Drosophila melanogaster: one gene and its partners. The protein of the gene in region 4 interacts with the protein of the main gene of each other region in a pairwise test. Each region holds a gene or a part of one and is shown on either strand. Other genes may lie near its edges.

Region 1 (8,378 bases), 2.5 Mb from region 4:
ATGTTGATAAGAGGAGTGGTCTTATCATTCCAAAACTGTTTTTAGCCAACGATGTTGTGCAGTTTCGATCATTGGCCAGGCAAATGTGCAACGTTGATGGCAAATTTATGAAATAAATCACAATAATTAAACTCCCTGTTTGGATAGCCAATTTGAATAGCAACCTTTGCCTTTTTATAGCAAGTCGCGCTATCATCGGCGCCGCAAATAAAGAACGAACTTCGTGTTTAGTGTCTCCATAAAGTCGCTTATTTGCAATGAAGGTGTGCGATTAAATCCAACAATTAAGACGCCGGGATGAGCCATGACTTTTCACACCACCGCACTTCATTAGGTTGGTTAATGACAAATAGATAAATACAAAAAAATAAAAAAACGACTCGATCATCGTTCGTACTTTTTACAATCCGGTAAATTATTCACATGAAGCCTGCTAAATTTTGCGTGCGTTAACAAATCGTCACTCTAAATATTCGATTCGTTTGATAAACAAACATTTAGCCCGTCTATGCAGCAATACTGCAAGCGAAGTCGCTGTGAGCAAAGTACTCAATATTGTGCAGATATATGTAGAAACTTTTCCAAACAAGATGCCATGGAATCGATCAATAAATCAGTTGGCTAACTTTTTAAGTCCACCATTTAACGTGCGTAATTCACAAAATGTTTCGACTAATTAGCCGATCGATAAGTTTTATCAATTAAAACGATTATAATTTCCAAAAAAAAAAAAAAACATAAAATATTTATTTTAGATTGCATGGAAATTCGGCTAAATAGTTTAACTATCTCAAACATTACTCACAAGCTATGGGCTTTCGTTATCACTTTTGCTTGAGCGTACATTAAAAAAAAAGCACATTTCCCCAAATTTGCTACATGAAATGCTTCCGAGATAATTTGTTTGAATTCTTTTCAGCTGCTAATCGTTGTGGGATCAAGGTCCGGATGAAAACCGGTGCCCAGAGCTGACCAGCTCAACACAAGCCACTGGGCCATTGGCTAACCGGCATTGGATCGCCAATCGGATCGGATCGGATCGGATCGGATCGTATCGTATCGAATCGGATGGAGTCCAAAATCGCCACCTGCCCAGGGTTCGAAGTCTATGGGATAATGTGGGTGATGAGATGTGAGGTGCTGGTGTTGCTGGTGCTGGTGCTGGTGCTGGTGCTGGTGCTACTGGTATGTTAGGCCAAACAAAGTACAAAGCTCGCGCCTTGGTTATCTGCAGGCTGGAAAAAGCGACGAGTCGTGATGACTTGGTTATTTCTTAAATATCGCTGCGCAGATCACTGAATTATTCATAGCGCTCTTGTATTTATTTCTATATATATATATATATATATATATATATATGTTTCCATCTATCTATCTTTCAATCCGTCTGTGTGTCTGGCTGTCTCTCGTGTGGTTTTCCTTTTTTGATTCGTAGTATATTAAACTTGTTTTCACCGCCTAGACGTGGAACATGTGTTTGGGTCCATAGGTCAACACCGGTGGCTCCCATTGCCATACCCATACCCATTCCCATTCCCATTCCCATTCCGAAATCGCCTGCCCCTGCGATTCATCCAAAGCTCTCTTTCGCTAATCGCCGGCGATCGCCTAATGGGGGGCACATTGAACCCGGGCGCGAGAAGATCGGTTGGCGTCTGACTCAGATAGAGACATTGCCGCGGATTGCAATCAAAGTTCAGTGGTTCTTGTGCCGCATAGCAGCCGCTATCGAGCTAGTTTGTCTGATAAACGCTGGCCAAAATCAGATAGCTCGACACAGCTCGGGCATACTCATCACCTGTTGCCTTGGCTGTTACCTGTAGACCTCAAGACCCGTAGTCAGTCTGCCGGCACTCACACGCTCACTCCACTCCGCTTGCGATGTCTCAGAAGTGAGAGCGAGTGAGCAAGTGAGCGAGCGAGTAAGTGAGTGAGTGAGTGAGTGAGTAAGTGAGTGAGCGGTAGGCAGGCAGGCAGACAGACAGACATACAGGCCTTGGCAACGTGGCATCCGCAACAGGTGCAAATGTCAGAGCTCGGCTGCGAATCTGCATTGAAATTACGATCTCATTTCACGCACCGTCCGAGTAAAGGCGAGAATTATACAAATTACACGATAAATGGCTGCCTTGCGGGGCAATCCGATTATCGAGGGCCAAGCGTTTCCCGGGCACAAGGTCTCTCCATCCATCCGACTCTTCCACTTCCCCATCCGAAAGTCTGGAGCGCGCACAGCCACACAAGCTATTGCGCAACAGCCGGCGGGACGGGCCGGGCGATACAGAATGTGTCTACCTGCGAAAAACAGAGCAAGTTGTACACAAATTAACACCTATACCCCATTACCCATTACCCATCTCGAAGGCAAAGAGCTGGGAATGGGAACGGGAATGCGAATGGAAATGGAAATGGAAAAATGAAACCAGAAGCCACTGGTCCTCTGCGCTTCTCTCCATCCAATGTTGTGGATGGCACGACGCAAGTCATTAAAAGGCACGGCTGTAATGTTTATGCTTTATACCCGGGTGTCATCATGTCATCCATGGAATGGGTGTGTGTGTGTGTGGGTATGGGTACGGACTTGGGTCCGGGTAAGGGGTACAATCGAGTGTTGTTGCAACACCAAAAGCAAACTGCCCACCGGTGGTTGCGTGTTCGATTGCAAGGCAGGCTGCTGGATGTCAAGTCAAAGTGTTTGGACCTTTGGACTAATGAGCTTGGGTGTGTTGTCCAATTGTCCAAACCCTTGATAGATTGCAAAGACATTATTGGCGGTGCTACGAGCTAGCATAACCGTACCATATCAGTTAACAATTCTAGGGCCTGTCCTTGATATGAGGCTATAAAAAAAACACCGATAAAAAAGCGCCTTGAAAGTTGTGCAAGAGGCGTTGCTACTCGGAAACTCGTTGACACATTCGAAAAGTCCCTTTTAAACTTTCAACGTTCTTAATCATTCAGCGATTAGCTCTTGGACTTGAAAGTGAATCATAGAATGAATGAAATTAAATGAAATTATATGAAATGAACCACAAAATTCAACCACTGATTCATATGAAAGCATAATCGAAGTGGAGCTCCACTTGCGAAGCCCATTTGGTTGGTTGGACTGTGGAGTGTCCAGTCACTGCATCCATTGAACCGACTGCACCATCCACTGTGCAAAATTCGAACAATGGAATGGTGCATAAATTTAGCGGCCATCCACAAGTGGCGGCTACCTCGCTCGCAAAAGTTGCATAAAAAAGTAAACAGCGCATTAAAATGCTCGATTTCGATCGCCTGCCAAAGTGCAGTGCACTTCAGAGAAGTTGCTGAAAGTGATGGCCACCGGTTGGGTATCCAACATCGGAGTGCTCGGCATACTCCGAGTACTCGGAGTAATGTTAGCAATTAACGAGTGGCACATGCAGCCACGGCAGATCCCCCACAATCCCATGCGGATGGCTGGCTGGCTGGCTGGCTGGCAATGCAATCACCCACCCACTCCACTTGTCCGCCGCAATCTGTCTAATTAATTGGCTCTGTCATGCAAATAGTCGATTGCGCCCGCTTTACCCGTTCAGTTTATTCAATAAGATGAAATCGACTGATAGCGGTCAATTGCGCGCCGAACCCCGCACACATCGAATATGACCAAATATTGAGCGCGTTAACAACAGCATAATCGGCACGAGTGGCGATAGTGGAATGGGGCATATAGATGAAGTGCTGTAGACTGGCGCGTTGCCGATTAGATTAGCGGCAAAGACCAAGTCCATTCAAACACCGAAACGTGGCCCTTAACCGGGGAATCAAGTCCGCATCGCAGGTGCTCGATGGGGAAATCCTTGAAGCGATACCGCAATGAAGCAGGCCGCCAAGAAGTGGCTATTCGGGTCATAATAGTCGAGGGCGCCGAGAAGGCTTTCCTAATCGAGTTTGCTGTTTGGCCGGAAATGTAGTGCCTATCTGAGTCTACCTTCTGCTAAGTACGCGGAATTCCTCCATTCCTCCCAGACAATATATACATTCAGACCTATCCTAGATATCAGTATATCTACATAATAGGGATAGACTGCAAACAGATCCAGCTACTTTGGTTCACATCTACTTAAATGAATCGATGATCTGTTGACTTTTTTTTTGTATTGGGACTGCACTTAAAAATATCTTTTTGAGAATCTTCAAAACGTAAGCTGGTGGTCGCCAAACTTATTATAAGATTATGGCAATGGGTAACACAATTGAAAAGAACAGTATTTGGAGCTGCAAACGAACTGTCCGGCCCACTGTGCGCGGCTGCTGGACGAATCAATTGAAACCGGACTACAATGAGGGGGAAGTGCATACAGTGTGGCAGAAACGGCCATCGGAAAACCAGTTTTTGCAGTCCGCCAGATGACCCACAATAGTGGCATCGCATCGTATGTCCCGCAAACAAATCTGTTTGTACATAAATACACAGCGATCCAAAACTCAAGTCAATATCACGGACACATCGATGGCCAAGACCGAGACCTTGTGCAATAAGATGTTCGTAGAATATTGCATATTGCACAGGCAACATAAATAACATGGTTGAGCCACAATTATCCGTAATTAAGATCAAGGGGGGGCTTACCGCTTCTTGTTGGACATCTTTCCGTAGGCAATTATCCAGAGGGCCGCCGTCATGCCCGCCACGCCGACGATGGCGCTCTGGTTGTTGGCCAATTTGCTTAGAGCCGGGGCCATTCTGCTATTGCGATGTGGCTACGGATCTCGTTTGGCTTCAAATTGGGCACCTTGTGAATTTTACAATTCGCAATTTCGCGTTCGCACTTCAGTGTTCGATTAACCGCACGTGGGGGGAGGGGGTTTGCACAAGGAAAAAATTAAAAAAAAAAAATTATAATAAATAGTAAGTATGAAAGGGGAACAGACACTATTGTTTATTGCACGGATTTCAATATTTTAATCGGCTGTTTGATGACGACACAACACACAGACATGCACACACACACAGATGGTGGATAGCAGGATGTAAACACCTGGTTGTCGAACAGCCCTGTCTTAGCTTCGTCCTCTCTCGCTCGCACCCTCTCTCTCTTTCAGGGCAACTGCTTCTTCTTCTTCCTGTACTACAACTGGTGGTGGTGATGGTGCTGCTGCTTCTTCCTCCGCTGCTAGTGGCGCTCCTTTTCTGGCCAAAGGGGGTGGGCAAAGTGATTGTCACACACGGCGGGCGCTTTTATTTATTCAATTTGAGCCAGGCGCATTTCTTTGTTTGGTAATTACACTCTACTCAGCTCGACCAAATCGAGAAATCTGACGAAGTGATACGTGCGACGCGCAAAAGCCAGCAGGCAACTAACTGTAGTGCGATGTGCGCTAGTGTTGGCTACCACGACAATGTGCGGGCAGCGGCGCTGCGGGGGCAGCTATTTCGCCGCCAAATCTGGCTATTTCTGAACGAAGAGCTATCGAACAAGTTATCACCGATAATTATGAATCGAAAATATCGTTCATCTAAATTTGAGGTATTAAATATTTTAAATTAGCCAAATTTAAATTTCCCCGCTTAAACTACCTAAACTATTGCTGAGCAATCATGTTATATAAGTAAATCATATAATGGCTTACTCTTACGAAAATTCCACTAATTTTTATATCTCTTATGTTAAGCATATTAAAATGTTAAATGAATAAAATGTTAATGTTTCGTTGATTGCAAAAAAAAATTAAGTTAAATATTAAAAAATATAACCAGAGCAGACAAATTTTAAGACCTTTAGTCCTTTAGGTATTATAGAAAGGAAATCTAAAAACTATATAAGTATCAGCCAAATCCCCTAATTTCGAACCAACTAAGCATTGTATTCCAACTCCGCTTTAGATCTTTCCACTCCCATCTTATCGAAGTGGAAAGCATTTGCCTTCCCCATTCTAATCTAATAAACGCCAGTCGGCAGATTAGAGATTGCGATATCTGCAGGGCCAGTGAGAAGGCATAATACGGGTCCTCAACATAATGTGTATATTCTAATGGAGTTCATAGCCAGCAAATCATTTAACAATGGACCTTCGATGTGTCGCTCTATTACAACATAACTCAATTTAATGTCACGCTGACGCAGGTTCCGACTGGTGGGCATGGCCTCTGGCCAGAAACAGGGCACAGTTTCGGGTTGGCGGCGGTACACCGCCGAGCAGGAGTCCCGTGTTCCGTGGTTGTAGTTGTGGGCCAGCCGAGCAAAATGTGGGACAAAGTCTGGTCAACATGGCAACCTGCAACGGGCGGGAGACGGGGCTTCTCGGCGCTGGTTAGCTGCGGCGCCTAGTCGCAGGAGCCGTCTAGCCAGCCGTCGCGCCACCTCTCGTTCACCTTGGTGCAATCGAAGAGCGGTTTGCCCAGTTTGTCGTTCACTCGGTTGTGGAACTTGCACAGCCACAGTGCTAGCTCCTTTTGGGAGTTCACATTGATGGGGTTGACGTCCAGGCTGCAACAGAGGTCCAGCTAAAGTGTCAGCGTTTTCAAATGGATTGAAGATGCACTTACTCGGTGCGAAAGTCCTTGGCGCAAAACTCGCAGGGGTAAAGGCGCGACAGAACCTCAAAAAAGGTCTTCATGTCGCGCTTCTCGGTGTCCGTGGGGTTGTCCGAGTAAAAGGCGGCCATGGTGTGGAGCAGTCCCCAGGTGGAAATTCCCAGCCTCACCTTGTCCAGCGGGCAGTCGTCGCGGGGCAGCGGATCTTCGGCGGCGTTGACGGTCAGCTTTTCGGCGGCGGCCATGTGCTTCACCTGGAGGAGTATGAAAGTGGGAGATTCTTGTGTTATCGTCCTGCTTGCGAAGGCGAAGTGGCCAACGCGATCACGTCACCTTGGCGCTCTGCACGTTGGAGATGAGGCGTTGCTGCTTGGACCACGACTTGAAATCGTTGCAGGTGCGGCAGTTCGAGTCCTGTTTGCCGGCGCCGCTGGCACCGGCCTTGCGGTTCGCTGCGAATGGGGACTCGTGGTGCTCCTTATCCATCTCGGGATTCGCCTCGGCAGACATGATGAAGTCCGGGTCACGGATCAGGCGGAGAACGGTGCGCTGCAGACGGCGAATTACCAGGCGAGTTGCTTCCCGGCTGAGTTCGATGTGCGTGGGGCTGATGTAGTCGTAGCCGTAGTTGTGGGACTGGCGGCGCAGCAGAAGCGTTGGTGTGGTGGGTAGTTCTAGAATCTTGAAACTTCGCTCGGCTATTGTGAAAATCATAAAAAGCATGCGCATGGTTGCCACCTTGTTTCGAAACGAAACACATAACATTAGGACATATCTGGCTAAGCGGCTTAGTTAAGCGGCTGCAATCAACGCAAGTTACTAAATACTGGCTTTTAGATTCATGGCCAACATCTGGCCAAGGACCAAAATCCGGTCAGCAAAGTAACATTTTCAAATTATACCGGCCAGCAATCGAAAATCGATGCGAAATCGTTCCCGAACGGGAAGCGATCTGGCAGCCTGCTCGCAGCTGTGATCGATACCAGACCGTTGCGAGTTGCGCGCGCAACCGCGACAATTCAAATAGCACAGCGTTCAGAAAATTACTAAGGTTTGTTTCTCAATCAATTCGAGACGCTCGAAAGAACTTACATGTGAATAGGATGGAAGCTGGCGTTTGTGAGTGCTGCAGCCCCAGATAAATTTTGCGCCTTGGAACTGTTTAAAATAGAATAACACATATGCTATTGGCAATATTTATTGATTTTTCTGATCCAAATTTTTAACGTACACAATAAAATTTTTTTTTAAGACTTTTCCGTAAACTTCTACATTTACAGCGTTAAAATCTGATCTGTGACATAATTTGCAAAAGCTCTGTGTGATCTAAAGGCACAATCTCGGTTATTGTGTTCAAATAATGTATTAATACAATAAATTCACTTAGTAACAACTACAACGTCTGGCACGTGAGTAAGACAAGTTAACAACTGGCCGCCGGATTTTGGGTTTGGGTTAGCTCTGCTCTGCTCTGCTCCTTCCTGTTCCGAGCAATCTGAATCTGGAGCAGATCGCAGTGGTTAGACGTACGACACATAAATATATATATATATATATAAACATTCCTTGGGCTGATTATACGCGACGCAGCATTTAGTTGTGGTTTTGAGAGTTAGGATCAGTAAGCTTTAACCGCTGCATCGCCTACAATCAGTTTCGAGAACGCACATAAATTAGGCGTGTAAACACTATCAAAAAGTTAATATAAAATGTAAAATTGGCGCCGCTTGTTGCTCCTGCAACCCGCTGGCTCGTTCCATCCGGGTTTCACTCAGGCGAAGTCCCTGAACATGGTGAACAGGCTGTATAGGACGCGCAGGGTGGACTTGAGGTCCATGTTCACGATGTCCTCCGGCCGCGCCTTTGGTTT
Region 2 (6,877 bases), on a different chromosome or scaffold from region 4:
ATCAAACACGCTCTTGGAGGTTTTTTATTCTTTTTTCGTGGAAAACTTTGTGGTTAACAAATAATTGGATTTTCAATAAGAACTGTTTTGGTAGTACACTCAAAATAAGATAAAAATCGTTATTTTAATTCATGTAATAGTTTATTTATAAAGCACTTTCAGAAATGAATGAAAGTCTATTCGAATTGGAATACCACCTGTGTATCAAACCCTACACTTTAATACATTCTGAACAACCTCTTTTTTTACCCGTCTGTGTACAAATGGGCCTTAATCTGGATGAATGCATGGGAAAAGTGCAGCACAAAAGGGCGTGGGCCCGTGGAAACCCCGGGAAAAGTCACGTGCAAAAGACGAGACACACATGTCGAAGAAGATGGAGATGAGGACAACGCACGAGAAGACGGCGAAGACCCTCCGATTTTGCATGGGAATGTGCAGTATATAGCCAAAGACTGCGCTTGTTATTGTGGCTATTATGATGGTAGTTGGACGTCATTAAGGCGTGACGCCGTAAATTACCAAAGTGTAAACTACAGCACAAAACTATGTACGAAATCTCATAAAAGCGCGCAGCTCGAATTAAAAACGTTTTCTATTCCGTGGAAAGCGAAATTTATAGCCAAAAACAAAACCGACAAAAAAAAACACAATTAAATCTATTTGCACAAACGTTTCGCATACGCCGCGTTGTCTGGTGCGCCCAAAAATCATATGTATGCTATATACACATTTGTATATAAACAAATGCCACACACACACACACACACTTTCACATACTTTGGTTTTCTCAATGGATGCGGCGGAATTTTGTATGATTTTTATTCGGTTTTACACCGGAACACAAGTCACAGACTCTCGGGCGATTAATAAATAATCAAATCAGGCCAAAAAAGGACGACACAAATTTCCTGACATCCGCACGCGGTTACAGCGATGTTCGAACTAAAACCGAATACCACATTCCGACTTTTGAGCCGCCTGCTCCAATCTAAAGGCGACCAGCAAACAGGTTCGATGCGAGAGAGCCAACTAGCCAAATAATAAACAAAACGGAAAAGCAGGCCAAAAGAGCGAACAAGTGTGTGTGGGAGAGGGCTAAAACCATTGTTGCAGTTCGAACTTGCCAGACAGACTAAAATAATTACACAGCGAGTGTGAACTTACAAATGTCAATCATTTGTGACATAAAAAAATATAATTATAATGAAAATGGAGAAATATATTTGCTTATTCCTAAGAGAAAATGGTAGAATATTTATAATTTATATATTTAATAACATAATTTCTAATTCTAATCATCTTCATTCAAATTCCTCTTCTTTCAGCATTCAATAATACGATTTCACATATATCAATAAATATATTCTTTTCTTAAAATAATATACTAAAAAATAATATTTTAAGATAACATTTCAATACTGTTAAATATTTAATTTACTATTCTTTGTTGCCACCTAAGTCAACATTTATAGTCTCATTAGTAATGTTGAAAGGTCTTTGATGATGGTACTGTTTTTCTTTTTTATCTGGCAACTCTTTTACAATCCCATACACTTTCCCATGCAACTTGTTTGCTGCCAACATGTTGTTCGGCGATACTAAAAACTAAAACTATGCAACATCTACAAATCTGGCCAACAATAAACATTCTCATGTACCTATTAGATAGATGGCAATTACCTAAAACCGAAGCCAAATTGGCGACAGACGTACTTTCAAGCCGTTTTCAGCTGCCAAATAATTCAAATACATGCAGGGGGAAAAAAACGGGAAATTGTCGCCAGGTCTGCCAAATAGCCAAGAAATGCAAGCCAACTGCCAAACAATGTTGGGCCCCCGCAAAGTGGCTTGGAAACTGCCTCGATTAGGCAGCCGGCCACCTTTAAGGCTAATTGAGGGCCAACCACGTAGACTTGGGAACTATGCACGGGAAAACAGAGATACACAATGAAATAGGTGAAAATTACCACGAAAGACAATTGGAAATCACTTAAAGCCAAAACGCTTGCGAAGGCAAGATGTCAAGGTTGGCATAGGGCTATAATGAATTACGATCACAACAAGTTTTATACAAATCACTATGAATGGTTTATTACAAATTCGAGCACTACAATTTTAATGAAATTTCAATATGAAAATTCCTGAAAATAGATCTAGAGCTTCCATCCCGTTTTCGTGTTTGAAGGAGATGACCGTTTACGCATATTTCTATTTTCCACGGATACATTATTTTCAGCTATAATCTTCGTGGGTTTCGCTATATTAATGTGCTTGGTCTCATCTTTGGCTGGTTTTCCCTGATCTGTTAGAGCAAATCGCACCCTATTTTTTACTACGGAATCTTCTCGAGGTTCGGCGTCTGGAATCACAGGCTCCGGTTTATTTTCTTCTCGTACTAGCGCTTTAGTTTCACTAATTTTGTCGAATTCTGGGGGGAAAGGATCAAAGATTTCTTTAAATTCTGAAAGTTTGTCATCATTTGCGTTGGACTCTGGTTCATCCAAGTAATTAATATTACTCCTAATATCATCAGAAATCGCTAGCGGCGGCTTGGGTATTACGGTCGAATTTAGGGCTTCTTGCAGCATGGCCATATCCTTGGTTACAAACTTAACACGTTTTCTCAGTGACTCAATCTCCGACATAGGCACCTAGAACAAAACCCTATTAAGCCCCTTCTACTGTACGTTTTCCCCCCCCTTTAACTTACATCGTTCCATTTGTGTTTGAATCTTTTAAATACAAGTAAGAGGAGTACGATAAGGACAATCGTAAGAATCACCAGGTAAGTTGGTGATCTTTCCAATACCAGAAGTTTCAACAAATCAATGCCTTTAAGAGTAAACCAACAAGCCGATGGCCAAGAATTGCAATACGGCGATATCTTTACCGATGTTTCCAAATCAACTTTCTGACGATAGTTCCACATTTTGGGCCTGACTTTTTGTTAGTTTCTATCTGTAATTTAGGTTGTATTAAAACGGATAACCAACCGGTGATGTTATCACTTTTATAATGTGATTTGAAAAGTATTTTCTTTGCTTGCTAGACTGAATTCAAATGACAACATTTAAAATGTTCCTATGTGGAAAAATATTCGTTCTTTTAAAGAAAATAATTGTAGAATTCCACTCATTCCCTTTCCTTTTTCAGATAAAAATCTTTAACCTCTTCCCACAATTTTCCCTAATTGTTCTCGGTTCTTTAATGCATTTTCCCCCACCATTTCCCAGTGCAGCTTTTTTGAATGCCAAGTGCAGAGAGTGGGAAAAACATGTTCCCAGCAGCGGAGCAAAAACAAAGGCATTTGCATGACAAATTCAAGTCGGCCCAAGTTGTAGTTGCTTCGAAAAGAGTAGAAGCCATGGGAAGAACATCAAGGTCCGGAAAGTTGACAGAGCAACCACAATTTATAGCCTGCGTGGGGTTAACTGATTTGCACACGCCTTAAATGCAGACGATTTTAATTACTTTATCCGATTTCGTGCATAATTTTCGAAGAAATGTTTATGAAAAAAATTTGTTTAATAATTGAAATGCTAATCGATATTGATCGATGCTCTAGTAATGATCTAACTATTACAGCCTTAGTTTAATGATCAAAATGATCAAAAGTATATAACAGTACATAACGATACGAGATAAATGTGTCAGAATCGATAACATCAGCAGACTGAGTTTTATTTTGGGTCAAATTTTGTTCGCGACTTGACAAAAGTGCCGGCCTAAATTCTGAAGAGTTAACAATTGCGGCAAGTTAAACCTGTTTCTGGAACCCTCTCACTTCACTTCCTCCGATCGGATGAGCGAAAAAATAAATTCCAACAGCATGACAACCCCATCGAGTCAGCCAACTTGTAAGCCACATCAAGAGGGAAGGAGTTGGCTAAATTGAGGGGAGACAAGAAAAGACCCGCATCTTCTACCTTCAACCTTTTCGCTCGGTCCCCGAGAAAAGTTCACAAAAGCGGCCAAACTACTTTTGGCTCAAGAAGATGGCAGCAGGAAGCACGGTCGCCAGTTGACAAGCAGAACTGCCAAAGGAAGTTATATAAATTGCAGCAGATTCCATCTTGGAGCTCTCTCATTGTACTAACATAAATCTCATGCTGTTAATCTGATATATTTATTTTACTTTCGTTTTGGTTTCAGTTGCAATTAAGTCCCAGAAAAGAGAGCAATTTTTTTTTCGGTTGTAACTTTTATGACAGCCTCCCCCGCCGGCAATAATCATAAATTTTAGTTTTTGGGGGTGGCAGCGTTAGGAAAGCTCTTGAAAATTGCCCAATTGAACATCTATGTAGTTGTACAACAATTGAAACAGGCGAATAAGATGGGAAAAACTGATAACTAATTTAGGCAGAAGAAAAACAAGCAATTGAGCAAACCAGCTAATGGAAAATTGGGAAAAAAACCAAAGGCAACTTATAGCTGAAATTAACAATCTTAGATAAGCGAAGTCATGGAAACGCTTGTGAAAACATCAAATGTGATGAGGACAAATACTGAATTAAAAACTATATATATATATTTTTTAAGGAGCAGTGCACCAATAATTTTTTTAATTAAGATAAATTATAAATATTTTTATTTACAAATCAAAAAACCAAAACCAAAATGGAGCAAGAATGGGGGTTATGATTTATATGAAGCTCTACATGAAACCCCGAAAGAAATTATATTCAAGGGTGCTTACTGTCTCATGGATCCCCAACGACGCTGGGATAAACTATCAGGATTGCTGTAAGAAAAATTTTTATCAATTGGGATATCTAATAATAGTCTTATTCGGTTCAGTTTTAACCGCAATAGAAACATAGCAATATAGCAATCTTTCTAATCATCTTATTTTCTTTTATATAAGTTCATATATAGAATGAAATTTACGCCTAATTTTCCAAATATTTATATAGGCAGTTATTTAGAATTATTTAAAATTGCCAATATAATTATATAAAATTGTTATTTAAATAAATGATTTATTCTAGCTATAACTAGGTAACACTCATCACTGTATAATTTAAGAGAATTGTTGCACTCTCTTACGATCAGTTGAACTGTGAATTCACCACGGCTATGGCAACTTGTTGAACAAAGGCGGAAATAGAGTAAAAGAGACGGCGGAACACGACCAGAAAGAGAGGCACGATCGCTGAGTTGTGAGAGATTCCGAGACCCGAAGACAGAGACACGCATGAATCACGGCCCAAAGCGATTCATGAGCCCAAGTCAGAGCATAGAAAAAACTGGTTTCAGTCTGTGTATGCATTTTTCATGCCACACATACATGCGTTGAAACCAACAGACACAGGTTTACACAAAGAAAAGGTTAACTATTCAAATACGCTTTTTTTATGCTGCCTCGGACAGACAAATTGAGAGTTTTGAATTGATGAAGTCTCTGGGCCTGGTCAGCTTTATTTTATATTCACGGCTATTACGTATTCAGCTGGATTATGTGCGCAACCTTATAAATGCCCGACAACTAAGCAAATTCGCATTCGCTTCGATTGCCATTTTAAGAGATGTGATCCGATCAAAATGGGCGAGATTACCTGGTGGGAGTTCGTCGCAGACTGCGCCTGGCCCAATTATCCCGGGGCATTATGTTTAGTTCGTCATCACTGCAACAATCGAAATCGAGTTAGTAAATGCTCATCAGTTGTGACAATGGAAATACACAAGGCGTTTCAGTGTCAGTTAGTTTAAAAGATTAATTGACAGTAATCAAGAGGTAATTCCGCAAGACTAATGTTCTTTGCTTTACAGGAGTTACATATTTATATGCAATAAATTCATTAACAGTTTATAGAACAACTGTGTTCATATACATAAGTATATATTTTGAATTTATCGCAATGTTAAATGGATATGACACTTTTGAAACGCACTATATAAATGTTTCAAAAACTTACTCTTGAGGTGTTGATGAGCCGACGTGTGGAGCCAAATCGAGTTCGACGCCAGTGCTGCCATTTAGGTTGTTATTTCCATCGTTCGAGTGTCCACTGTGGTTGTGTCCACTGTTGTTGCCCACGCTGATATTAGAATTATTGTTAATATGATTGCTCATATTATGGCTCCCATTGGAATTGGAGCTGCGGGCTTCGCGAAGTTGGGTGGGATACTCATTTTCGCCATATCCCTCAAAGGATTCGCCATCCGAAAGGGAAGAACACTGAGATTTGGCAACGCCTGCTGAAGTTTAAAACATAATTTCGTTAGTAAGCTAATCTATGTATTATTTTAATGTTATCCATACCTGTACTGGATGGCGGACTGCTGGGGGTGGGACTACTGTCGCCGGACATTGTTTCCGCAAAGAGAAAATCATTTGTGCTAGCCTTTATGGAAGAATTTCCATTGGGTAACTGAATTCGGGGCATTGGTGCCATGTTTGGTGGAAAGCTTACTGCAGCTGCAAAAGGAATACAAAATTTAAGATATTAAATTTGTTGTGTGCGAAGTTTATATAGATGTTCAATTGGCTACAGACATGACATGCAGGTCAATAGGTCAAAGTGCCAACAAAAAATCACATGCAATTGCTGAAAGTTTTGCAAAAGCGCAAAAAACGAGCCCATCAATACATTACTTATTGATTGGAAAACCTATCGAGAAAGCACGTCTAAGCTGCCTAGAGCACTTAGTAAATTGAAAATTTTCGAAGCCCTTTGAGATTCTTCGAAAAGAAATAACACAAAATCTACTTAATTCCTCTTCAAAGTATCAGCATAAACTATGTGCTAAACAAATATTTGTAGTATACTAATTACACTTTCCTTGCCAACCAAAAATGCCTGTTCAGGAACAAACTTCAACAGGTGTGTTTCTCCGTTTCCGGAAAAAGGAAAATGAAAATTATCAGCCCAAA
Region 3 (7,775 bases), on a different chromosome or scaffold from region 4:
CTCTTTGAATTTCTCTCTCACTCACTACTCAGTGCTGTGGAAATGAAAACGAAACGAGACGAATCCGCGATTAGTTAGCGCACATTATATAAACGATAAATCATGGATATTCGGCAGTGCGCTTTTCTCAGTTCGGTTAATAATAATATATCTTGTGCGAAGGCAAGGGAAGAAAGCGATTAAAAATACACCGACGACGACGACATTCCCAGGCGGAGCAGCAACAGAGAATGAACACAGACACGAGCCGCTCTCTCCACGGCGGCCACTGTGTGGGTGTGTGTGCGTGAGCGTGGCAGCGTTGCCAGCAGCTTGCGATTTGGAATTTCGGGGAAAAGCAGGTACCGCAAAAGCAATTAGACGATGTTTGGCTATTACTTGTTGTTATGCGAAGTAATTTGCCTTAAATAATATGAAATGTGTCGCTTAGAACACAATTAACATTTGGCAATCTAGGGCGTGGGTGCTTGCTGTTGGCAATGCTGCCGCGGTGACGTTGTTGTTTGTTTTATTTTTTGTAACCCCAATAAACACACACACACACACACACGCGGCGCTTATATTTCTATATGCGTAAGTTGCGGCTAACTATTTTCGAGTCTCTGGCACGTGCAAAGAGGCCGCCGGGCTTACAATTTCAAAGGGCTAGGGTGGCTGCAAGCTTAAGCGACACTAATTAGGCGCGGGAGCGGTTTGGCTAACATATTACTACTGCTAAATTTGTAATTCACTTTTATTTTCATAGCAGCGTGACCGTGGCCGGGTCGCTTTATTATTCCAAGAAAATATACTGAACACAACACTGTGGGAGAGGCATACCGCAGGGCTTTCGTAGTTTTCCTTCACCTGGTCACACCGCAAGACGCTTCGCCATTTTAAAAATCAAAACAGGAGACGCTTCGCCGGAAAAGTCAGCATTACGTTTCATTCCCAACCGGACACTTCAGTTTGACTCGCCCATCCGTCACAGCAGTCGCCATGCAGCGCCACAAGGAACTGTACAAGGAGCAATCGCTGGTGCTGAGTCCGCGCAATCACTGCCAGGAGAACAGGGATCGGTTGCAGGCGGCGCGCGCCAAAAAACGAGAGGATTGTTTTTATCAGAACCGCATCATCAGCGTGAGCCCGACGCCCGTCAAAATAAAGCAATTGGCGGCGGCCCAAGCTGCTCTGACCCAGGAAAATGTGGCACCCAAACTGGAGAGTCCGGAGCGGCTGGACACGAAGCCCGCAGAACTGCTGAAGGAATCCAACCCGAAGGTCTCCCGCCAGAAGCTCTACTTACAACGCTACATGGAGTGGAAGATAGCCAAGACCAAGGAGCATAAGCAGCAAGACCAGAAACGTCGAGGCGCAGCCATCAATGTGCCGACAGTAAAACAATCAAAGGCCTTGCCCAAATCACAAACATTTCGGGTTCCCGATAATCTGGCTTCTGCAAAGCAGAAGGAGGCGGCTCCCATGTTCCAGCCTCCCAAGCGGTGTTCTCTCTACATGATTGCCAATCCGACGGGCAAGGGAAAAGCCGCAGAACCGATTAAACCTTCAATACCCAAGCCAACGTCAGCAGCAGCTCCTCCGTCATCCAATACCGTGGCTGCATCTTCCGCCTTGGCCAGGCATAAATCAGCTGCTTCTGCAACAAAAATAGTGCCTGCAATTCGTCAGAACAACAATCCAGTGGCCTTGGCCAGGCAAAAAGCAGCTGCACGACCCATTCCCAACACAACGAAGCAAACTACCAGTGTAAGGCAGCCTGGGATTGAAGCGAAAAAGATCACTACCACCATACCCAGACCCACCCCAGCGACAGTCACGAAAGCGAAAACGCCAGGCATACGACAACAGCCACCAGTGGTCAGCACAAAGCCAAGATTACCTGAGCCGCCAGCGCCACGGACAGCTAGACTGCCCAATGTGTTGTCCAAGCCGTTCGAGAAACCTTTAGGAAACAAGGCACCAGTGACACGACGGGCGAATGTCGTGAAACCACAGCCTATACGTGGCGGAGGTGGTGCCGCGGCCAAGTTCAAGGACACAGCTGGAGCGACCAGCAAGGCAGCAAGTCACTCCATACGAATGAAGGCCACCAAGATAAAGAGCCAGTACACGAGGCTTCAGGACAACGTGCGAAAGCTTCCTCAGCTCAAAGCCGAGTTGCTGCACGCAGCCACGCTAGATATACCGCCTCTCACGCCGCTAGACGATATCCATAATCCCTTTATCGACCAGGCCACATCAACGCAGTGCAAGTCGAACAATAGCAGCGGTCATCTTTTGGAGGCGTTTGGCGACACCATCTTGTTGAGCCCGGTGGCACCGGTCAAAGCTGAAGGAGAAAGTTCGGTGAAAAGGCAGTTGCTGCCGGAAGGTAAGAAAGAGGCGTCAGGTCCGGTGGCAAAGAAAAAGTTCGACTTTACGCGTTACTCAGTGGCGAATTCGCCGGCGGAGGACTCGCTCATCTTGGATCCTCAGCAGACGACGGGTGAGTTTGGGATACGCCTTCTCCAATCTTAAACTCAAACTCACATTTTCCTTTCAGTTAAAGAAGACACTGGAGATTCCACTTTGGTGCCAGAGGGTACAAAGACACCGCCACGTCGCGAATCCAATGGAATGCCCAACTATCTCAGTCCGTTTGTTAGTGTCTCGCGGGGAAAGGTGAACTCGCGCTGTGAGAAGGAGAAACGCAATAGCTTCTACCTGTCCAATGAGGAATCGCCCTTGGAAGTTCGCCGTGCCATTGAATCGGTTCTGTACTTCCGACTGCAGCTGGAAAACGAGATCACGCGCCTCCAAGCGCTTTGCGCTGAATGGGAGGCGTACAGCAAGGAGAATGAGGCACGGCTGCAGGAAACGGGCGGCATTGACATGATCAACGTGACCATCGGTCAAACACGTCTGCTGACCACAAAAAAGATGATGCAGTTCAGCGGCCTGATCGATCGTTGCGAGGCTGGAGCGACCGGCAAGAACAGTCAGCCAAACGATGGCAGTGAGGATTCGAAACCGGTGCAGGCTGAGGATCTGGAGGGCTGGTGGGACATGCTGCGCCTGCAGAGCGAGAACGTGGACAAGCGTTTCGATAACCTGAAACGTTGGAAGGCCAACGACTGGCTGGATCCGGATGCCGTGGCCGAGGAACCCAAACAGCCGAAGCCCAAGCCCAAGATAAGTCGCAACATGAAGATCAAATCGAAGGCCAAGCCGAGCAGCAATCTGCAGCAGTTCCTCCGCAAAGCCCATGCCAACATGAAGAAGACCAAGGTGGAGGAGCCAACGCTGGAGGATGGCCTGCCCGCCACGTCCTCGCGCCACAGTTCGCCGCGAGTAATCGTAGTTCGCAACCGCCGATCCTTTTCGCCCGCCCGCACAGTACTCCGCATGTCCACCGGCGAGGGCCGTCAGTCGATTGCGCCAAATGCGCTCCTGAAATCAGCGATTCTTGCGGCCGCCGAGCAGAACGCTGCCAAGACGCCGCCGCCTAAGCCGCGCACCTCCATCCTCAAGACGCCCGGCACCACGAAACGCCAGAACCGTGGCGTGCTCTTCAGCGCCAAGAAGAGCGTACGACGATTCCAGTTCACCTACGAGGAGGGAAACATTAGCAACGACGAGACAGTGGGCGCCGACAAGTTGGAGGACTGCGAGGAGGACATGTCGCTGGAAGCCTCCACGGAAAGCGGATCCCTGGAACAGAATCCGGGAAGGGATTCCAATCAGGAGAATGAAGCAACTCCTCGCACGTACACGCTGCGCAATCGGCGGGTGAATCTGCGTCCCTCCTCCGAGTTTATGTAGTTTTGTCTATTGACAGTAATTGTCCGTTGTGGAATTGTTTATACTTTTATCTTCTTAGTTTAATATTTTTTTGCGGATGCCATTAAGTGTTAATTTATTAAGATGTTGAAAATTACATTTGGCGTTTTAAATGTTCGACGAGTATGTTCTGTGAAAATGAAAGCTTATTTTATTTTTAATTATCTATCTTACCTTGATTATAATTTAGACATAGTTAAAGGAATAAAAAAGAGAAGAATAAATAAATTTGAAATGCTTTTCTTATTGAAAGGGGATCGAAATTTAAAATTAACAATTTAATATCACAACACAGAAATTTGATTACGCGACTCAACTAGTAAAACTTGAATTTTGGAGTTCCAGAAAATTAATATTAAAATATTTGCATTTTTCAAGTTGTCTAAATAAATTTTAAGAATTTAGTTTTGGTATGAGTCTTTGCTAACATATTACCCAAGTCATTCACCTTCATGGCTCCGTATAATTTTGAAGTATTTTCCAGTATTTCCTAAGGAAATTTCAGTATATCTGCGTGTGTATGGCGGTATAATTTAACGGTAGCGACACGGTCTCACCCTGATTCATAAAAGTAAAGGAAGACCACTCGACGGCAATTTAAATTGAATTTTGAATTTTGCTGTTGCACTCGATTGTAAATACTCGTTGATAAGGCCGCCAAATGAAAGTGCACATAGCTGTGATATCGCGACGCGCATCTCACCGCAGTGACTAACCGCCTCGCGACCGTTTCGTTCGCCCGCGACGCCCTTTGAGTTCAACGCATTCACATTTCCCAGTGTGCAGATTTTCTTTTTGTTTTGTCCGCAGTCACCGCGCACTGCATTCAAAACAGCGCCCAACACACAATACGCGAACCACAGCGGCACAGCATACACAATACACACCCAGCATGGACACGAGTGGCGGAAATTTGGGTAAGGATCTGGTCATTTCGTATTTCAAATTGAATTTTCAACCTCTGGTACAGCGTGTACTCGCCATGGCAGTTGGGCCATTCGCTGGCGCGCAAATTGATCTCCTCGATTTGCGGCTCCCCCTTCGCTTGTCTACCCCCCTGCCACAACACCGGCAAGCTAACTTATGAGTGCGTATTGCATTGCGGTGTGCATATATCTGGCAATGGGTCTGAATTTAGATTTTTCGTAAGTTTGTGCACTCTGCTGACGAAACGAAAAAGTGCTTTTAACGATCTGGGAACATCCCATGGCGCTGCGTTGCCAGACAGCTTGTTACACACATGGGCATTTGTATGCTTGTGTTGGTGTTTTTAGTGGGGTACAGTCTTGGGGGCAAATGTTTTTACACTGTAAAAAGTATGCTAACGTGCAATTAGAGAATTGGCAAGCACATAAATTTAATTAGCAAGTTATATTTGGCATTGGTGTGTCCTATGAGTTTAGACGAGTTGTTGAGATGGGTGGTTAATGGGTGGAAAAAAACGCGCACAAAATAATAACGTCAACAAGGGGCTGCCACCCCTTTCAATGTTCTTATGCAAAAGTAGCAGTCAAATATATTACTCTATTTCAAAGTAAATATTTAAAGTAGTAGCCTGTTTTAATTAATGTTAATGTTTTATAATTATTTTACCATTATAAATTTTTTTTTTTTTAAATAATTTAACGTATCGATAAGTGGGTGGCCTATCGGACAACCTCCACCATGTGGCAACTCTGGCGCACAGCACATTTCAGGGTTTACGCAATTTCGAGCCGTAAGATTTTCTTCGACCTGTGAAAAGGCTTTTTACCCCCTGCCAGGATAGCTAAATCTTCACTCGTAAGTGCAGCAGGAGCTATCCATCGCGTAGCTCATATTCTAATCCACACATTTAGTTAAAAGCGCCAATAGGAAGCCCAGAACCATGTCACATGCATTTGCCGCCGCCGTCTGCCGGTCCACCGCATCCATGTCATTGGCCCTGCGCTGCAGCCGGCGCGCCATGAGCTCTGCCAGAATGCTGCGTATGGCGGGTGCCACTGCCACCTCCACGGCCTGCAAGGATTGGCAGAGAAACGGACTACTTGCTGCGCCCAGAACCGGCAACATGCAGCAGTACCTGCGCGAGTACGCCAACGAGAAGAAGGTGTTCGAGCGAACCAAGCCCCATTGCAATGTGGGCACCATTGGCCATGTGGATCACGGCAAGACCACGCTCACGGCGGCCATTACCAAGGTCCTGGCCGACAAGCAGCTGGCCGAGAGCAAGAAGTACAATGAAATCGACAATGCGCCCGAGGAGAAGGCTCGTGGTATTACCATCAATGTAGCCCACGTGGAGTACCAGACGGAGACGCGTCACTACGGCCACACAGATTGTCCGGGACATGCCGATTATATTAAGAACATGATCACCGGCACAGCCCAGATGGATGGCGCCATTCTCGTTGTGGCCGCCACCGATGGCGCCATGCCCCAAACTCGCGAGCATATGCTGCTAGCCAAGCAGATCGGCATTGATCACATCGTGGTGTTCATCAACAAGGTGGACGCCGCCGATGAGGAGATGGTCGACCTGGTGGAGATGGAGATCCGAGAGCTGCTTACCGAGATGGGCTATGATGGTGACAAGATCCCTGTGGTAAAGGGCTCGGCGCTGTGCGCCCTCGAGGACAAGAGTCCCGAGATCGGCAAGGAGGCGATCCTGAAACTGCTCCAGGAGGTGGATAGCTTCATCCCCACGCCTGTGCGCGAGCTGGACAAGCCCTTCCTGCTGCCTGTTGAGAATGTGTATTCGATTCCCGGACGCGGCACCGTCGTCACTGGTCGCCTGGAGCGCGGAGTGGTCAAGAAGGGCATGGAGTGCGAGTTCGTGGGCTATAACAAGGTGCTGAAGTCGACGGTGACGGGCGTGGAGATGTTCCACCAGATTCTGGAGGAGGCGCAAGCCGGTGATCAGCTGGGAGCTCTGGTGCGCGGCGTTAAGCGAGATGACATCAAGCGCGGCATGGTCATGTGCAAGCCGGGCAGTGTGAAGGCACTCGATCAGCTGGAGGCCCAGGTGTACATCCTGTCCAAGGATGAAGGCGGTCGCACAAAGCCCTTCATGTCCTTCATCCAACTGCAGATGTTCTCCCGCACCTGGGACTGTGCCGTGCAGGTGCAGATTCCCGATAAGGAGATGGTCATGCCCGGCGAAGACACCAAGCTCATTCTGCGCCTCATCCGGCCAATGGTCCTGGAGCAGGGACAACGCTTCACGCTGCGTGACGGAAACCTGACCCTGGGCACTGGTGTCGTCACCAGCACTCTGCCCCCATTGACTGAATCGCAGCGATCCGAGTTGACGGAGGGCAAGAAGGCGCGCGAGAAGAAGGTGGCGGCTAAGAAGTAGATCCCCGGAACGCCGTCAGTCATTAACTAAAATCATATTCTTAAGCGATTTTTATGCATATTGTATAAGTTGTTGGCGCTCCAATCACAATCGAGTAAAATATAAACAAACACCTATGGACAACGAAGTTTTAAAACTTGGAATATTAGTAGGGATCTTAAAATTGATTTAAAATAGTACGGCTTTTAAGTATTACTGTTGTTGCCTGACATTTCGGCATTTCAAAGGACTATTTGTTATATAAAGTTATGTAAGTAAGCATTGATCATTGATAAAGGGCAATATTTAATTTAGGCGCCACTCATCGATTGCTTATCGCTCTATGTTAACGGCATCCGAAATAGAGTGGTATCGAAATGGAGCCGATAAAATCAAACAAGGCCGATAATAACCTGACTACGACATTTTACAACACTGCTGCAACCGCCTTGAACGCAGCTGATGATAAAGAACATTTTGAAATTGATTTGAAAATTGGCAAAAATGAGTACCTACCGCGTAGACTACTTGACCGGTAGATTCAAGCACCGTAAACGTTTGTTTGCAAAGTAATTAATAACTTATTTTGTCCGCAGATTCCCTAGACGACACGGAACCATTGCCGGAGCTGAGTTTTGAA
Region 4 (6,951 bases):
CGAGGAAATGATCCATCAAGCGTGTGAGTTATGTACGAATTTTGCAACTTTGCCACATGGTTGGCTGACTTGGCTTGATGGCTACCCAGTTGTGGCTTCTGCCTCTGCTTGTAAAGCAGACCCAGTTGACCCTGGTCAAGAATCGGACGCTCAAAGTGGTTTAATAAACTGCAATTACCCGACCTGGCCGGGCCGGGCCTGGCCTGGCCCAGCCACCCGCCACTGGAGATTTATTTTGTGGATTCTCGTCCAGATTAGTCTGGGCCACGCAGTTTGCAGTTCGCCAGTTATTTTTGCGATAAATAGCGAGTGGTGATCCAGTGGTTACAGCATTCGAGTGCCACACTTCGAGACGCACAGCAAAACAAACCAGGATCTACTCTCCGAGTCAGGACTAAAAGCTTAAAATCCCAAACCACACATAATGAAGGTATTCATTGTACTCTGCGCACTGGTGGCCTGTGTTTCGGCCGGATTGGTCCGATCCTCGGGCTGGGGATCGAATCCTTGGGGCGGCAGCAGCTCCGGATGGAATAGTGGCTGGGTTGCCCAGCAGCCGCAAGTCATCAAGGTCATAAAGATCGGAGGAGGCGGCGGCTCCGGATGGGGCGGAAACTCTGGATGGGGCGGTAACTCCGGATGGGGTAGCAACTCCGGATGGGGCGGCAACTCCGGATGGGGTGGAAACTCTGGTTGGAGCAGCGGCAACTCCGGATGGAACAGCAATGGATGGTCCAGTTCCAGCTCCAATAGTGGATGGTGGTAAAGAATCGAAGAGCTACCATCTCTAGGAGACGAAAAATCCAAGCACAATCCCAATCCCGATCCCCTCTCTCCGCACCTGGTTCACAATCCACCCGATTTTATAACATAGTTTTTAAGTACCATTTTTTTTTGTGTAACAAATAAATAAATGAATAAATCAAAGGCATAAAGTTAACATTTTTATGATGCATCATCTTTAAATTATGGATCGTTAGCAATTAACATTCTAAGCCTGGGAGCCGACTATATATCTGACTGAGCAGTTATTAATATTTTATGCATCGCGCAAATGATTGTGGAACAGCGTCTTGGTGGCCAAGGTGGTGATGCGATTGGAGTTCAGCGGAGATCATCATCATCATTTGGAGGTGGAGGCACTGTGGTTACACTTTTAGGTTTATGAAAATATAAATGTCAAGTATATTTGCGAATCGATTTATTATTAAAACGAAGCATAAAATTTAATTTTCGGGACTTAATTAAATGATTTATTTAATTCAGCTTTTGGTTATTTGACCTTTATAATATGAAATGAAAAAAATTATCGTTACATTCTAAAATCACTATAAAGTAAACTTTCTTAAGAAAGAAAATCAAGCATAGATAAAATTGTATTTTTTTATACATTAATCAAAGCCACAGAGAACTTCCCTTATTTCAACAACAAACGGTTTCATATAAAAATGAAGGCCGGATTTTATAATCTTTGACGGAACGACATGTTTTATATATATTTATATTTTTTAATGAAAATGTAAAATACCAGCTTGTTAGTGTCTTCTTATGAACCTTAATTATTGTAACGGAATATTTAAAAAATATAAGACAAGGATTGAAATTAATTGTAACTTTGTATAATATTTTGTCTATAATAATTCATTTTACTGGTTATTGGTATCAATTATATGCATTTGTAGCTTACTTTGCCAGTTTCCAACTTAAAATTGTACACTGTACAGACAATTTTCCTAAGCTCGGTGGTTTTGGCTCTGGGTTAAGCCCCCAACTAAACAAATGTTGTTTGCGCATATCTGCAGCACGCGTTGGGAGCCAAGAAAAGCAATATGTTCACATTCACGGTGGAGTTGATGAAATTTATGGTAAGTAATGCACTTGAGCGATGCAGCCAGCCATGTTTGCACGCCAATTGACATTGAACCAGTGTCTGCGGAGTCGTGTCTCCTCCATTTGGCGATTCAATTGCGGCTGCTGTATAAATGAAGATTAATCGCCGCATACATTGCATGGCTGTAGTGAGAAACGAAGCCGAAATTAAACATAAGTACGAAATGAAAATTATATTAACATTTTTCCTTTTTAACAGCACCGTTTTAATGCTCTGCGAAAATTCAAATTGGTCGATTTAAATATCCATAAAAATGTTTGAAGTAGTAAACAATATGATTAAATATTCAAATAAGTAACGTCTTAAATTACCGACAAGCTATAAACAATATATCGTGTATTGAAGGTTTAAGCTCTATTTATGCAAAAACCTATTAAAATATGTTTGCATTGAATAAACAAATAAAATACGGGAGTAAGCCTAGTATACATTAAATACATTCGTAAGAATAGTTAATATATACCAACGATTCCCAACGATTCTCTACAGCGTCGGTAAATTTGTTCCATTAATTCCAAACTTTACTTAAACCTGCCAAGCGGCAAGACTGAAAATAATAATTAAGAAAATTCAACAACAAATTGAATGGATGGCGCAAAATGAAAAAGGCAAATATTCTTAGAATTTCGCATAGAAATAGTAAACTTGTAAGACAAATTGCTAGGCGTTTCGTGGCCAAATGTGCTATGTGCGCTGGCAATTAATGATGCAGCCATGGCTCAGCAGTTTGCAAGTGGTGCGGTGGCGTATACGCGATGTTCCCAGACAGCGCACATTGCGTATCCGCCGAGTGCGCCGACGTACTTGAGACTTTTTTAAACCAGACAAGTTGCTGGTGAAGCCAGCCGCTTGCCGCATTGTGCCGACATGAAGTGCAGTTCTTAACCTTCCTTTGGGAGCTCCAGCTTGGAGTTGAAGGGATGGCAGGCTGCTGACTCAGCCGAAGTTTCCGCCTTTCGGAGCTATAAAAAGGTGCCTCGATTCTGGGTTAGTTCATCAGTAATATTGAGCCTCCAGCAGTGATTACACAGCGGTTCTAAGTCGGTCTAACAATCTTTTTTTTTACTATATTTTTTTGAGTGACTAAAGAGTTCTAAGGATGCGTCACGCTGTGATCCTTGTTTTCGTGTGTTGCCTGCTGATCGCCTTAACCTCAGCCGGTTTGCTGGGCGGTGGAGGCGGTGGTGGTGGCTACGGCGGTGGTGGTGGTGGTGGCTACGGCGGTGGTGGTGGTGGTCAGAGCGGCTACGGCGGCGGTGGCCAAAAGAACGGAGGAGGCGGCCATGGAGGTGGCGGCCAGGGAAGCTACGGAGGCGGTAGCCAAGGCAAGTGAATATATTTGGGATATGCCTATAGTTAATACTAACTATAATCCGATATTACTTCTATGCCTAATTTGATTTAATAACTTAATAATGAAATGGATTTTGTTATAATATACTTTATTGGTTCTAAAAAACTCATTTTACAAAAACGTTTTATGGTATGTAAATAGTTAAAATGCTTTCAGCATACAAATGTTTGGTCAAAACATTTAGAAAATATGTACATAATAAATATTTGAGTAATTTATAACCTCATTTAAAAAATTGTCAGCTAATATTTAAAATGTATAATTTACCGATGTTAGGGTTAAGGCTTACGATATCTGTAATATTTATATACACTTGCCTTCTAGGTGGACATGGAGGCGGTGGCCAAGGAGGTTGGCAGAAGAACGGAGGAGGTGGTGGACAAGGAGGCTATGGAGGTGGCAATCAAGGTAAATATTAAGTTCAATTAGTTTAATCCAAGATTACAATGCTTTTCTTAACCTGTATATTCATTTCAGGTGGCCACGGAGGACAAGGAGGTTATGGCGGCGGCGGTCATGGAGGCGGTGGCCATGCAAGCAAGTCCTTGGCCGGCAATCGCGGTAGTTCCGTGTCCTGGCAGGGCGGAAATGGAGGCAACAAGAACGGAGGCGGCGGAGGAGGTGGTGGTGGCCTGTACGGTGGTGGTGGCGGTGGAGGTGGCAAACAACATGGCGGTGGCTGGTAATCAAACCACCAGGAGCAGCTAATCCACCGTCTGATGCTGACTTGTGTTCCATGGCATAGAGATAGAGACAATCCCTAGATTCTTCTATTTTTCTTCTATCGAAAGCCCAATTTTTCCTGCTTTTAATGTTTTTTATACTAATAAATCTTGTTTATGCATTTTGTAATTATATTTGTTTTTCTATGGGGCACATTACATTATCTACTACATTATCGGGGAAGTAAAATTATATGAAAAATTATAATCTGTTGCAAAAATTGTATCATTTTCACCAAAGAAATAAAAATAGTTAATTTAGATGCAAAAATTAAAAAAGTTGGCGGCAATGGCAAATAATATACGCCCAAAATATATTTACTATACATACTAGCTCTTTACATTTTCAAACAAAAATTTTCCCTTAATTTTCTTGATTCATTTTTTAAATTATAAATAATTGAATAAACTCACCCATAAAAATAAAAACGTGGGATAAAATTACTTTCTTGTAAGATTTATTCACATAGTTAGATACACAAAAAAAAAAAATGGTTAATTTAAGGGCAGAATTATTATGTACAGGTTGAGCAGTGGATAGTGGTGTCGCCTCGTCGCCGATTTTTCTCGGATGGATGCCGTTTTCTTTCCAGGATCTGATTACCAGCTCCAGCCGCTGCCTCCGCCTCCTCCGGGGGACCAACCACCGCCACCTCCACCAGAGGACCAACCGCTGCTAATCTTGCTGGGCCAAGCGGAGGACCCTCCGGAGGACCAACCACCAGATCCACCGCCGCTCTTCCAGCCGCCGCCTGAGGAACCACCAGATGACCAGCCACCTCCACCGCCGCCGCTTTTCCAACCGCTGCTTAAGCTTCCCAAAGCTTGGGATTTCCAACTGGAGAGACTGGACAGTGCACTGGATAATCCCGAGCTGCCTCCTGACTTCCAGCCAGAGCTGCCGGAACTTGGCCAGCCGGAGGATCCACCGGAGGACCAGCCACCTGAGCCGCCGCCGCTCTTCCAGCCACTTGAGCCGCCGCCGCTCTTCCAGCCACCTCCTGATCCACCAGATGACCAGCCGCCTCCGCCGTCACCACCGCTCTTCCATCCTCCAGATCCGCCACCTGAGGACCAACCTCCTCCGCCGCTGGAAGGCCAAGCACTGATAATGACCTTACTGCCACCTGATCCTCCAGAGGACCAGCCTCCACCACCGCCGCCACTGCTCCAGCCATGTGGTTTGCCCTGGGCGACTATGCAGCCCAGCACCACCAGCAGACCGAGAAGGCCAAGTCGTCGCGTTGTAATCGTGGTTTGCATCTCCGCAGCTGCCGTGCACTAACTAATGCCCCACTGCAGCCACTCTCGACTATTTATACCCATCCAAGATTCTGAGCCACAGCTTCGCCACAGCCGCTGCCTCGTATAATCAGATGTAATTGCCAAAACTGCCAGCGACCAGCTTACAATGGCCAGTGCTTGGGCGCTTCGGGGTGGCTCCGAGTGGTTCAAAGTGGGCCAGAGTGGCTCGGGTGGTGGCTCAACTCACCTCAGTACTCGGGCCTCATTATGCCGGCATCAACTTTCGGTTTCGTACGCTTTGTGGGCCCACGTAGGTCGGCTGTTTTGTGCCCAGCAAACGCCCCCAGATGGAGCACCTGATTTACTTTACTATATAGATGACACTCTGTAACAATGGATTCATTACCTCAGGATAATGGATACGATCAGCTCATGAAAACAGTGGGAAAATGTCAGGTGTTATGAATGCAAATTGAAGAGCTGTGTGGGCATTTAGGTGAAGCTCACTTAAATATATATTAAAAAAAAACGGGTTGTTTAAAATTACAAAAGGACTTTTTTAAGCAAGTCTTTATAATAAGGTAAATATATTTTATTCAATTATTCAAAAATTATACTTATTAAAATCATTTTATAAATTTCAGCCCAAGGCATACTTTTATTTTGCAGTCTAGTGTAGCCCAGTAGCCGATACCGCATCATGATCGCCGATCTAATGGCTCTCCATTTTTATGTAGCAACCGCAAAGTACTTAATTGAGTTCGCCCGCCGGCGGTTGGATGGATACTATAGATATAGGTGCCAGGGATTGATCTGACGATCGGTTCTTTATGTCTGCCCATTATTCAGAATGGCGATGGCGATACAGATGGAATTGGTAATGGAATCGGTATAGAAATTGGCACTGCAGACGGCAGGTGGAGGAGGTGTGCCATGGAATTGGAAATGGAGATCGAGGCAGCTGCGTGTTTGTCTTTTTGGCTACCGTGCTACCGTGCGGTTGCACATAATTCGTGCTGTCTTGAAAATCGGGTCACCGCAAATCAATCAATCAATCGGAGACTTGGGCCCAATTGTTCCGCTGCAACTTATGAGTTGGCACAGAACCCATCACAGGAGATTGACGGGTCTCGAAAGTAGGTGTCTCACACCACGATGAGCTATATCATTATTTTAAAAATGCGGATCATTGCTATAGATTATTCAATTTTATCACAGACATAATTCTAAACAAGAATAGAAACCGAAATGTATATACATTTGGCTAGAATATTTTTTTATGTAATATATTCACAATATTTATTTTATCAATTTTTTTTATATTGTTATTTTTAGGTATATATTTTATTTTAAAAATATTTATTTTTAAAATTTGATTAAATCACATTAATAACTATTTTACAACAAGAAGTATTTTAAAGCTCATCATTGAAAAGAATTTTTATTTATTGGTATACCCCAAATTTATTCGCAAGAAATTAATCCTCTAGAACAAAGACAAGAATGAATATTTTTTTGAAAATTTAAATCGGCCTATCTTGGCCCAAAATGCTAATTATAGACGTCTGATCGGCCAATTCTAGAACCGAACCGCTTGAACCTTTTGGCTTTTGCACGTTTCGATTTTAATTCATGGGCGGCATAAAAATCAAATTTGGCTCTTTTGTTCGATCGACTGACAGGCTTTTTTTTTTGCGACGGATTGATCGATGGCTGGAAAACAATCAAATGCGCTTTTT

The links.
Region 1: the proteins of CG5172 (region 4) and Abcd3 interact in a two-hybrid assay, tested with the Drosophila melanogaster proteins (one large-scale study listed by BioGRID).
Region 2: the proteins of CG5172 (region 4) and saturn interact in a two-hybrid assay, tested with the Drosophila melanogaster proteins (one large-scale study listed by BioGRID).
Region 3: the proteins of CG5172 (region 4) and mEFTu1 interact in a two-hybrid assay, tested with the Drosophila melanogaster proteins (one large-scale study listed by BioGRID).

Annotation. Positions count from the first base shown.
Region 1 is NC_004354.4:19,747,772-19,756,149, reverse strand, and holds the start of Abcd3 (ATP binding cassette subfamily D member 3), read right to left. Parts: upstream 5,381-8,378; 5' UTR 5,013-5,380; exon of another isoform or gene 4,803-5,012; 5' UTR 4,717-4,802; coding exon 4,604-4,716; intron 1,280-4,603; exon of another isoform or gene 847-1,279; coding exon of another isoform or gene 806-846; intron 1-805. Other genes in the region: Alr (augmenter of liver regeneration), read right to left, coding at 6,299-6,461, 6,521-6,762, 6,842-7,237; parvin, read right to left, coding at 8,280-8,378.
Region 2 is NT_037436.4:14,199,489-14,206,365, reverse strand, and holds saturn (saturn), read right to left. Parts: upstream 3,044-6,877; 5' UTR 2,933-3,043; coding exon 2,714-2,932; intron 2,655-2,713; coding exon 2,157-2,654; 3' UTR 2,072-2,156; downstream 1-2,071.
Region 3 is NT_033778.4:13,502,058-13,509,832, forward strand, and holds mEFTu1 (mitochondrial translation elongation factor Tu 1), read left to right. Parts: upstream 1-5,499; 5' UTR 5,500-5,601; exon of another isoform or gene 5,602-5,657; 5' UTR 5,658-5,686; coding exon 5,687-7,156; 3' UTR 7,157-7,275; downstream 7,276-7,775. Other genes in the region: mars, read left to right, coding at 979-2,485, 2,543-3,801; mip120 (Myb-interacting protein 120), read left to right, coding at 7,640-7,670, 7,732-7,775.
Region 4 is NC_004354.4:17,218,557-17,225,507, forward strand, and holds CG5172 (uncharacterized protein), read left to right. Parts: upstream 1-2,885; 5' UTR 2,886-2,990; coding exon 2,991-3,216; intron 3,217-3,569; coding exon 3,570-3,653; intron 3,654-3,722; coding exon 3,723-3,931; 3' UTR 3,932-3,946; coding exon of another isoform or gene 3,947-3,990; 3' UTR 3,991-4,095; downstream 4,096-6,951. Other genes in the region: CG12998 (uncharacterized protein), read left to right, coding at 425-766; CG34327 (uncharacterized protein), read right to left, coding at 4,568-5,230.